Drosophila melanogaster: one gene and its partner. The protein of the gene in region 1 interacts with the protein of each later gene in a biochemical or structural test. Each region holds a gene or a part of one and is shown in the gene's direction. Other genes may lie near its edges.

Region 1 (7,541 bases):
TAAGTTTAGCGAAACACTGACTGGGCATCCAAGATCCACTCTTAGAGTAGTCAAAAAAGATGGAGTGATAATATAACATCCTGCAATATGCTCCATCTTTGGAGAAAAGCTACTTATGATGACAATTTGCATCACATGTGGCGGCATCTGCTAGAACTTGTACTCATGTACCATAAGGAATACTGCTGTCTAAGTTCAATCAAAGAGAATTTCCTTATATTATTATTACTAAAAGATAAAAATGCCCTTTCACTAGACAAGCAACACCAGTAAACCAGTAAAAATACGTTTTATAGGTGCAGTGAAGCAATACATATGAGTCATAGCGAATTACTTTTAATGAGATTCACTGACGGTTATTTCGGCATATGAAACTAGCGTTAATTATATGTTAGGCTTAGTTAGGAAATAAAAGGTGCGAATTATTTGTGATATAAGCTGTTTCGATTGATCAAAATGATTTGATTTGAATATATTGTAGTTTCCCTGAGAACGCTAACAATTAACTAAACTTGAACTTTATATTAATTGAATAGTTTTCGCTCACAGGTATCACCACATCACCGTGCTGATCTACTCGTGGTTCAGCTATACGGAATATACCAGCTCTGCCCGCTGGTTCATCGTGATGAACTACTGCGTGCACTCGGTGATGTACAGCTACTATGCTCTGAAGGCGGCCCGCTTCAATCCGCCCAGGTTCATCTCGATGATCATCACGTCGCTGCAGCTGGCTCAGATGATCATCGGATGTGCGATCAACGTGTGGGCCAATGGCTTCCTGAAGACGCACGGCACCTCCTCCTGTCACATCTCGCAGCGCAACATCAATCTGTCGATCGCCATGTACTCCAGCTACTTTGTCCTGTTCGCGCGCTTCTTCTACAAGGCGTACCTGGCGCCCGGTGGTCACAAGAGCCGGCGCATGGCCGCCTCCCTGGCAGCCCAGAATGTGGTCAAGCAGTCGAGCAGCCCCCAGCAGGCCAGCGAGAGCTCCAAGTTCATCGGCGCTGGCGAGGATCAGGCAGCCTATCTGCGCAAGGCCAAGGCGCAGTAAAACGGAGCTCGGCACACCAGCACCTAACTCCCATCATCACCACTCCCCCTGTTTACGGCTAAGGACCTTTATTTATGTAGCGGTGTACAAGTTGTTTTTTAATTTTAAACCTGGGTGGCACACGACCGGTCGGATGAGAGTTTAATTTTGTAAGCCAAAAGTTGTACCGTGTGGACAGGCGTACGAACCATATATCTGAACATGTATATAAAAGAAGAAAAAAACAGACGAACCTAAGCTAACCAAAACTCAGAGTCGAGTCAGAATAAACTCTATGTAATTGAGGGGCAAAGAAGCGAGCGCATGAAAAGCTTGAATTGAAATCTCTAGATCTCTCTAGGGATATGTGAAAGGAACGCAAGGAATTTAGCTGCTCACTAGTTTGCATGCGTTTAATTAATAGTCACTCCTCTTGATATCTCTCGATGTATTTCCCAGCTGCAGTTCTAGAAGTGTCGTTGATGTATAGAATTTATTTATATTTCCGGTGTTATTGACATGCGCCAAATGAATGTTTTGTTTTCCACTAGCCCCTGAATGTATTTCGATATTTGCGTTGTCAGCTATAATTTACCTCTCGGGTGGAATTTTGTGTTGCCTCCCAATTTTAGTTAAAATTCTCAAGAAGGATCAGACTCCTGCCTTCAGTTTGGATATCGCACAGTTTGCGATACTTGAACGACAGGCATTTTTGGTTGAAATTGAATTTGATTTACTGGAGAACTGTTTTCCTAAAATCACTTGTAGTTGGGGTCTGAGAACTTTGTACTTCTAAGTCTATACGCATATATATTTATAAAAACCTATATTAACGGAATATTAAACACGTGAAAACGGAATACCAACCAATAACAAAACACTAAGTTAGTCTATTGTTCCAAGATCCAGAGCGCAAATTGTTATTGTAAAGTAATAAACTGTTTTCAAATCTGTAAGAACAAACAATATTTATAACAGTCGAAAAGACGTCTGATAAAATGTTGCTGACTGACTGGATTAAGTCGAAGCATTGTCATAGTCACCAATAAAATATTTTTGAAATTTTAACATATATTCCAGTCAGTCAGTATAGTTTTAACCAGTGTGTCAGTCATGCTGCAATACAAAAAGTTCGATTCTGTTAGGGGAAGGCATTTATTTAGTTAACCTGTGTTAAATGCATTTGAATATTCCTTCAAATTTCTTGCTGCTTTTTGGTAACTTAACAAAGCCACAGAAAGTCCTTGAACGTAACAAAAAAAAAAAAAAAAAAGAACGTAAAATAATAATAACCAGAGAAAAATTAAATTATATTTATACTTGTAAGCGAACAGAACAGAAGAGATCGCATGTGAAAGAGCAAAACCGAGAAAATGAAAAGCAAAAGTCCTACTTGAAAAGTTAATTTAGTGTAAGCGAGGAAAATGTAACTGAAAATGAAATCGGAGCAGAAGCTGAAGGAGGATCGTGTGAATGGAGAGAAGGATCGATTGATACTGAACTCTAGCAGGAGAGAGAAATTGAAACGAACAAACTTGAAATTTCTGTCGGGTATACATACTAAATAATAACTAAGCAAGAACACTAAAGATTGAGAATGCTAAACAAAACCAACGGATAAATAAAACGTAACAAACGGAAAAGGATGGAAAGTATTGCAGTTGTATTTATTAGTCGGGCTAAATGGGAATTTATGAATACATCTAAAGGCATATTATAAAAACCGTAGCTTGATTATTCGATGTTTTTAAATGTCAATTACATTTTGATTTGAGTCAGTTTTCTCTTAAAATCAATAAACTAAACTAGGGTTGACGCAATAGTCGAAAAAATTCGAAGTGTATCCATGAAAAATTAAAGATAATGTTATAAGTTGCATTGCATTGAAAATCTAAAGAGAATAAACTTTTCCTAGAAAGCTATATCAAGATTCTTTTAATTCAAATTATGTGTTTTAAACGTTTGAATTTAATTTTTTTTTGAACAACCAAAAATTAGTGTTCACAATCATGGAGTTTTTAAGCACTGGCTTACTAAGCTAAGTTAACCACCCAACCAGTCCGTGTCGCGCACCCATCATATTGCATTAGCCGAGTTTCTTACCAAACTAGCGCTGCCAACGCGTTCGTAAGTACTAAGCATTTATTATCAATATCGATACGTCTATCGGTATGCTGCCAAGTAGGGTATGTTTAAACGACCGACAAGCGGTCACACGAGTGCAAGTTGGATTCCAATTCGATCCGTCGCGGTGCGTGGAAAAAATGCACAGATGTAGATAAATCAGCAAGCAACGCTAGCAGATCAGATAGAGCTATATCGTCGCGAAAACCGATTAATTTGCCATGTTCAGCGGATCAGCCTGCGGATCAATTAAACCGTAAAAAACAGAGCAGGCGAGCGTAAGCAAGAGAGAGAGGTGAAGCCAGAGGCGGAGGCGCAAGACAAAGTGCATTTTCAGGGCGTGTTTTTGAGACCCCCCTCGCCAGTTAAGCTCACCCAGCCTCCCAGCCGTCGACAAGAAGTTTGCCGACACAACATTTTACCAACATGCTGCAAATTCGCAATTGCACCTGAGCGGCCACTAGAACAACAAATCAGATAAATCGCAAACTTCCTTTTTCCTCCGTGCGTGTGTACTTCTGTGTGTGCGTGAGTGTCTCCAATCTTTTTTGTCTACTCCAAAAACGCAGAAAGAGAAAGAAAAATGTGTGCGTGTGTGTGTGTGAAATAAATTAAAGCAAAGCAAAAGGCAAAACGGCAAATAATTGAGCAAAAGGCCAAGAGAGAAGAGTTAAAGCTGAAGTATATAACAAGAAAAGCAAAGCAAATAATAAGTAGTAGTAGTAAGCGAATAAGCCGTAGCAGCAGGAGCCGAGAGAAGAGAGAGAAAAGTGTACAAGTTGTTGTTGCTGCGCAAGAGCGAAAAACCACCCAACCACCCACTGGCAAATGGGGGCTCAGCAGGGCAAGGACAGGGGCGCCCACTCGGGAGGAGGCGGCTCGGGGGCCCCCGTCAGCTGCATCGGCCTCTCCAGCAGCCCAGTGGCCTCCGTTTCCCCCCACTGCATCTCCAGTTCCAGCGGCGTCAGCAGCGCCCCCCTCGGCGGGGGCTCCACGCTCCGTGGCTCCCGCATCAAGTCCTCGTCCTCCGGCGTGGCCAGTGGCAGCGGATCGGGCGGAGGCGGTGGCGGATCCGGATCGGGGCTGAGCCAGCGTAGTGGCGGACACAAGGATGCACGCTGCAATCCCACCGTGGGTCTCAACATATTCACCGAGCATAACGGTAAGTTCCTGCAAGTGTTGGAAAACAGGCATCGAAAGCATGCTAAGTACACAGAGCAAAAAGCATATTTTCAAAATTTGAAAGCCTTGTTAAGTCAAATTAAACGAAAAACGTCTGTACATAGTGCACGCTCAATCAAAATCGTTTTTATAAAATTAGGTGTGCACTAAAATTTTGTTTTCTATTCGAAGTTATTTAGTGGTTTGATCATTTTGTGTTTCGATTTCTGTAAGCTTGACTTATTTCTCATTGGTGTTTCTTCTTTTACATTGGATCTTAGAATTATTTTCTTGCACATTGTAGTTTGAGTTAAAAAGGCATCAATCGTAGAAATCATCTGGACCAAATCGATCTGTATAAGTGTTGTGTAACATACATATAAAAGTCAGAGGATGCACAAACATGCATACATTTGGAGGTCCCATTCACTTACACACTAATTGTAAAAAATTGCATGCAGCCTCCAAACTCAGGTGTAAATTCCATCATAGTATTGTGACTTTTCTTATTATACATGGAAATTGTTGTTGCTGTATTGCCAATTGCTCAGAGTTGTGTTATCTCACATCCACCACAATCATTTCAATTCGTGATGAAATCTTTTGATATTCCATACAACAGTTTTTAAGGACATTCAAGAAATCAGTAACTAAAAACTTATTCAATGGGGGTACTTTCAATAAAAAAATGCTTTTTTAAGCGTGCTCTTGCCATTAAATCTCTTTTGTAAATATCATGTAAGTTTTGATTTATCTGCCAGTTTGGGCTGCACAGTGTTGTATTTATTGTTCATAAAGTGCAGTCCACTCGGCTTTCCCTTTCCCCCTCTCTCCTTCTTTATGATCCCCGCCCTTCCTCTATATACGCTGCTTTCCAATTGAGCCAATTTCTTTTTTCCTCCATTTCTTCCGATTATATAGGAAATTATTGTTGTTATTGCCGGCTAGTTTCATACTTGTTGTTGCTTTTCCGCTGCTTTTGTTTACTGGAGAGAAGGAGAATGAATGAGAAAGAAAAGTGAAGGAGAGAAGAGAAAAGAGAGAGAGCAGCACGCGTTGCTGTTGTTTTTGTGCTGCTTGGGGCGGTTTCAATCCGCATTCGTGCTCTCCATCATCCTTTATCCTTCGGCCTTCCTCGTGGCACCCTTATCCCTGCCACCCGCACAGTGGTTGAAATTGCGACCCACAACACCGTTATCCCACCCCCGCTGACATATTGCCATTTCCTCCACTTTTCCGCATTTCCCCTTGCATTTTTCCTGCCCTTCACGCACTCACGCACATTTTTATTTGCCTCATTTTTTTGTCTAATACTTTTCCATTATTTGCCCTGCCAAGCTGCATAATTTTTTCTTTACATCCTCCCCGTTTCCGCATTTTCCGCACACCCACTTATTGGGAGACATTTGCCGTTTCTAATAGCTTTTTTATGTCCATGTCGACGAAGTCCTACCACAATAGGACCCACAATCGGGTGGCATTCGGGATTTTCTCAAGACTACCGGAAAAACATTTGTCAGGTTATAATAGTTACGCAGACTCAGTGGTAGAACTTTTTTTTTAACAAAAAGCATAACTATGTATGAGAATACATGACGAGGGTCGTATTAATAGTAAGGTAGTTTTTTAACTTGAAATCGTGTTGCCTTATTCCCCTGACAATTGCAAGCCATTTTCGCAACAGCTGTTTCAAACTGAAAGTGGACTTTTCCGAGTTTTGATATTTACACGCGCGACAATCTGTTCCTAAATGTATTAAATCCATAAATTTGCTTAAGTTCGAAAATTGAAATTTAATCCTTTATTATTTTACTTTTTAACTTTTGATGTAAATACTTCCTTTTGCAAACTATTCATCTCCCAAACGAATGGCTTGGCCAAAGTATTGATTTTTCCTTGGCACTCCAAGCTGAGCCACTTTTCCCAGATGATTTACAATAAGCTGTAGATTTTTCTTCTTGCTCTTCTCAACTGGAAGCCATTTCTTATCTCGCTCTCGCAGAGGCTTCCGTCTCACCAAGCAATTTGTAATCAATTAATGCTATTTTTATTATAATTAGTCGCTTATTGTGTGCATTAAGTTCAGTCAATCTCTCAGCTGGTACGCTGATAAGCCGGTTTTCATATAAATATTTATTGACGCTACTATTGAGTCATCGCTCCGTGCGATGCAATACATATGTACATATGTATGTGACCATCATCGGAAAACAAACAAACGACATTTTCCAGCTTCGTGCGGTGTTATTTCCCAGAAAAACACAGAAAATTCGCCAACGAAAATGCACATCTATTTGCCAAACTAGCAGAGTCTGTGTGTGTCTCATCATCCAAAAAGGTCGAAATGGGGGCCTGCAATTGCCTTTTTCGTGTGTCTGGCCTGCGAAATGCAATTACAGAATTACAATGTAAAAACGGTGTGTCTGGCTCAGCAGATTACAAGGCAGCACAAATCCCAAAAACCGAAACGGAAAGCCAGCCAGCCGGACTCACCGCAATTGTCAGTCCGGGTGGATCTCGGACTTTTAAGTGGGCGAATTTGGGGGGAAAGTCGCGCTATGCTTCTCCGACTCAATCAAAGTTAAATCCACCCACCACACACGTAACTAGGCACAGTGGGATAAAACCATTAAGTAATTGTTGAAACTACAATATTACAATAGTAAACACATCGTTAAGTATTAAGAACTTGTGTGCATATTGTTATCTTCAAGTAAACAATTAAGGCACTTAATAAATACAAGCAAAGGTGTTAAAGCTCTATTATTTTTAGATTTTTAAATAAATTTGCAGTCTCAAAAATTAAAAAATGGCATAAATTTCTCTTGCTCTAATTAACAGAATGTAACAGAAATAAAAAACAAAGTGAATGAAATTCTTCGGCTTATTACAGTGCTTTAGGCTTTACAGTGCTTTAAGGCTTCTTAAAAGATAAGAAATTAATATGACATTTTTTAGACTAATAATCCAGCTACGACGTAGCAAAAGCAATGTTCAGAAGGCGTAGGCGTTGTGCTAGTTGCCATTGCAATTGCAATTTCATAACCTTGTTGTTGGTCGTAATGCGATACAATGTAATTAGATACTTTGGGGCGGCAGTTGCATTGGCCAAGGGATTGTTGGATTGTGTGTCGCCCTGGGAAAATACCATAGAACCGGTGCAGATGCAGATGCATAATCAGTTGGAGACGCCTCAATGGAGTTGCCAATTGCAGTTGCA
Region 2 (3,600 bases), on another chromosome or scaffold:
AGCCGCATAAAAGTAATACATAAGTAAGGAAGTCGGAGAAGTAACAAAACAAAAAAAAAAAAGAGATAATTTCTTTGAGGCGGGATACTCACATGAGCAACAAATGCAGTTCATTGTCGGATCCTTCGTTTCCTTGGCTTTTTCTGTTGGCGTTTCCCAGTTTTTCCCACGGCGACTGCTGTGTCGTTTACATATCGTTTTTTGGCCCTCATCTCCTTTTTCTGGGCCACGTCGCGCTGTCTAAACGATTTACGACACTTTGGCCAACTGCCTCACGCACACATTTGCAATATTGTTTGTTTGTAAGTTTGTGTGGGTTGTGCGCGGGCGAGTGTCTGTGATATTAGCATGTAACGAACACACACACACACACACACAGATGCAGGAACAGGAGTTAACTTGGCCAAAAGGCAACACAAAATGCCGCACACGTTCGTTTTTATTATGTTAAATGTCTCCTGGGGCAGGAACATCAGCATCTGCGAGTTGTTTCCATCTGTTCGGTGGCTTTCTGCCTTTTAGCTTTCCTCCCTTCCTTTTGTCTTCTGACTTTTGGTAACTGTCACTTGGCTTGTTACATTTCACATTCACTTAGACTGCAGGATTAAATCTGGAGCGCGCCAAAAATCTAGCTAGCCAGGAAAATTAGCACAGGCCGTTTCTCGCCTTTTCCTGCTCGGCACTGCGCTGGTTCGCCCTTCTGCGAAATATCCTGCCAGCTCGTCCTTTCAGCCGATTTCAGCTTACTGCCCGCCGCTCCAGTTGAAACTGACGACTGGCGAACGACGGTCAAAGTCAATGGCGGGCTTTTCGTGGACGCGATTCGCTTTTCACCTTCGTCGACGGGCTCGGCGCCTAAAAGCCGAACCTTTCCGATTCACCCACGTCGAAAGCTCGTTTAGCCATCTCACCAGGCTCTCTTCGAGCAAGTCCTTGCTGAGAAGGATTGAGTTGCCTTAATCGCAGATTTGCTTCTCTTTGGTTTCATGTTCTAAGCCTCGCAGGTCTCGAATCTCGAAATTGAGTGAGTCTGTTTTGTTGCCTTTGAGCATTTAAAATGCGTTTACATTTCTCATATAAGCCTGTACTCTTTGCGTCTGCAATTCGAGTCCTTTTTAGTTGAGCTATAAATGTTATTACCCAGCAAGCACTTCACTCTAAGAGAAACATTGCTGGTTTTGCTATAAAAGCACTCAGTGATTATCTCAATGTTAAATAAATTAGCTCGAATCGAGCGAGCAGTGTAAACTGGATTTACCATTCCCATACATTTATAAGAATTAAATAATAATTTTTATAATGCTAAAGAAAATCCCAATTTTATATTAAATATAAAATATTTTTTGAAACTCATGCTAAAAATGATGTTTCGTAATTCCTCTCAGTTTATTTTACATTTTTTTCAAATTTATTTTATGTTATTTTATCAAATATTCCTTGCACTCAACTGTTCCATAACATTTTAAACTGAGTGATTTTTGAATGCTATTTAGAATCACTCCGATTTGTGTGCTCTTAACATTTCCCAGAATGGTTTGTCTATTCGATTGAGTTCTGAGTACAAAGTGAGTTCCTTTTGAGTAGCCATCCTTTGGTGTTTCTCTTCCATCGCTCGCAGCTTCGGCTGGCGAATTTCTCGGCTTTTCCGCTCTCCGGAAAAATCCACCACACTCGGCGCTCGGTCGGCGCATCCTCGGGCACGCTGAAGGACTCTTCGGGTCGAGTGGCGACTCACAAACGCACACACTGAACGCGAGGAAAACACGAGCATTGCTGCTAGCAGCCTTAGCCAATCGTAAAAGTTTTGTACGTATTTAGTACAATTTCGGGATTTGGCAGGATGTAACGAGCGTGTAAGAAACAGAGCGCGTCCTTCTCAGCCGTGTGTGTGCGATAATCGGGCAACAAGCAGCGCGACAGCAAATTGTATATTACACAAAATTCGCAAAAAATCCAACGAATCGTTTGAATCCAATTTCGAGTGATATAACATAACCACAGATCGTACTCGGTTATAATGCAATAGCAAAGAGCCGCAGCATTTCGAAAATCCGGCAAAGTGATTTTAGCCAAGTTAACCAAAAACCAAATCGTCGAACTCCTCGGCTTGCCTCGGTTCAACCCCCTTCAACCCTTTCTCCATTAACTCGTTGTTGCCGCTGTACTCGTACATATGTGTGCACTTGTTTTTGTGAACGTGTTTTGCCGCAAGCCGGTTAAAAAATTATTCCCATAATTACACCATCCGAGTTGCAGGCGAGGAACTTCCGCGAAACATAATTACCGAAGAACAACTGACGTAGCCGATAATACCTGGCGGATAAATCGGTAAAATCTAAAGAGAAAACAAACTCTGAAAATTATCAGAAGCCTGGTGTGTGGTGTGTGCGTGTGACCTGGAATTTCCTTATGAATATCGATATATATATGGACTTTATCCTTATCGTCCTGGCCCTGCTAATAAGAAACGGCAATCCTGTGCCGCTGCTCGAGATGGAGATTGAAACGATTGCCCCGGGGAGAAGGGGATTCCTTCGGTCTCCCCATCCTTTCTTCCGTAATAGTGTCGTTTCCTTTATTTGTCCTTTTATGTTTACCTACTTTTTCTTTTTGTGCTCCGTCGTTTCGTCGTGGTTTGGTTTGGTTTGGTTTAGTTTGCTCGCACACAATTGAAAATTCAATTGATTTACAAAATGAAGTTTACTGGTTGGGACGACAGATACTTTTTATCTATTTTCATTTGCAGTTTTACGAGCGAGCAGCTCTTTTTTCGGCCCGCTCCTTTTGGCCTCAAAGCGAAACGGTTGGCAATTTTTCACAGTTCTTTTTCGATTGAGGTCCTGGCGGGGTTTCCTGCAGTTTGGTGCGAAAATAACGCTGCGTCCTGCAAGGATTGTTGTGGCTGATGTTTTCGCTGCCTTCCGATTCGGGTGTGCCGAGAGTGTGTGTTTGTGATTGGAGCGGCCTAAAATCGTTTTAGGACCAGCTGCGAAGTGATTTTCAGCTAAGGCGAAAAAAGGACTGCAGTGTGTGTCCTGTGTGAGTGTGGGTCTGCAGATTGACATAGTTATGTCCTCGGCAAGTAATGGGAAGTTCTTGGCAAGAGCTCAAGAAAATTTAAGTTTGGCCTGGCCTTGCAAAGCTAAATAAGATTCTATATATATAGGTTGTTTTAAAGCCAAAATGTTTACTAATGCTTAAAGCTGTTCTCAAAATGAAGCATTTTTCAATTGACATTATCTGCTATTCAATATTTTCAAGCGAGTTCCTTATTCAGAGCCTTCTGCTCAATTCTCTAGTATAAAATATTATTTTTGAGTAAATTCTCAATAAAACTTATAAAAGTAAATATTCTGAAAAAAAGCCTTTCCAAGTGTTTTGACAAGTATTTAATATTTTCGTTGTAGAAACTCGTACAACACAACTCAACCTAAAATGTCTTTCACCACTTGCCTCAAGGAACTTTCCTCGTTTTTGGTGTCAAGTGTTTTTATTAGAAGCAGAAGCAGAAAGGAGAAAAATTGCCGACGAAGGGGCGAAGTAAAAATTTTTCCTTTCATTCCTTTTTCGATCCAAACTTGAAATGAGGTTTGAAACAAA

The links.
Region 2: of the proteins of Abl (region 1) and Lar, one has a biochemical effect on the other in vitro, tested with the Drosophila melanogaster proteins (2 studies listed by BioGRID, with this or other methods).

What each region holds. Positions count from the first base shown.
Region 1 is NT_037436.4:16,643,591-16,651,131, reverse strand, and holds the start of Abl (Abl tyrosine kinase), read left to right. Parts: upstream 1-3,249; 5' UTR 3,250-3,988; coding exon 3,989-4,322; intron 4,323-7,541. Other genes in the region: baldspot, read left to right, coding at 550-1,057. UniProt on the Drosophila melanogaster protein: Arm and Abl proteins function cooperatively at adherens junctions in both the CNS and epidermis; critical for embryonic epithelial morphogenesis regulating cell shape changes and cell migration.
Region 2 is NT_033779.5:19,604,754-19,608,353, forward strand, and holds the start of Lar (Leukocyte-antigen-related-like), read left to right. Parts: upstream 1-1,815; 5' UTR 1,816-2,328; intron 2,329-3,600. UniProt on the Drosophila melanogaster protein: Possible cell adhesion receptor. It possesses an intrinsic protein tyrosine phosphatase activity (PTPase). It controls motor axon guidance. In the developing eye, has a role in normal axonal targeting of the R7 photoreceptor, where it negatively regulates bdl.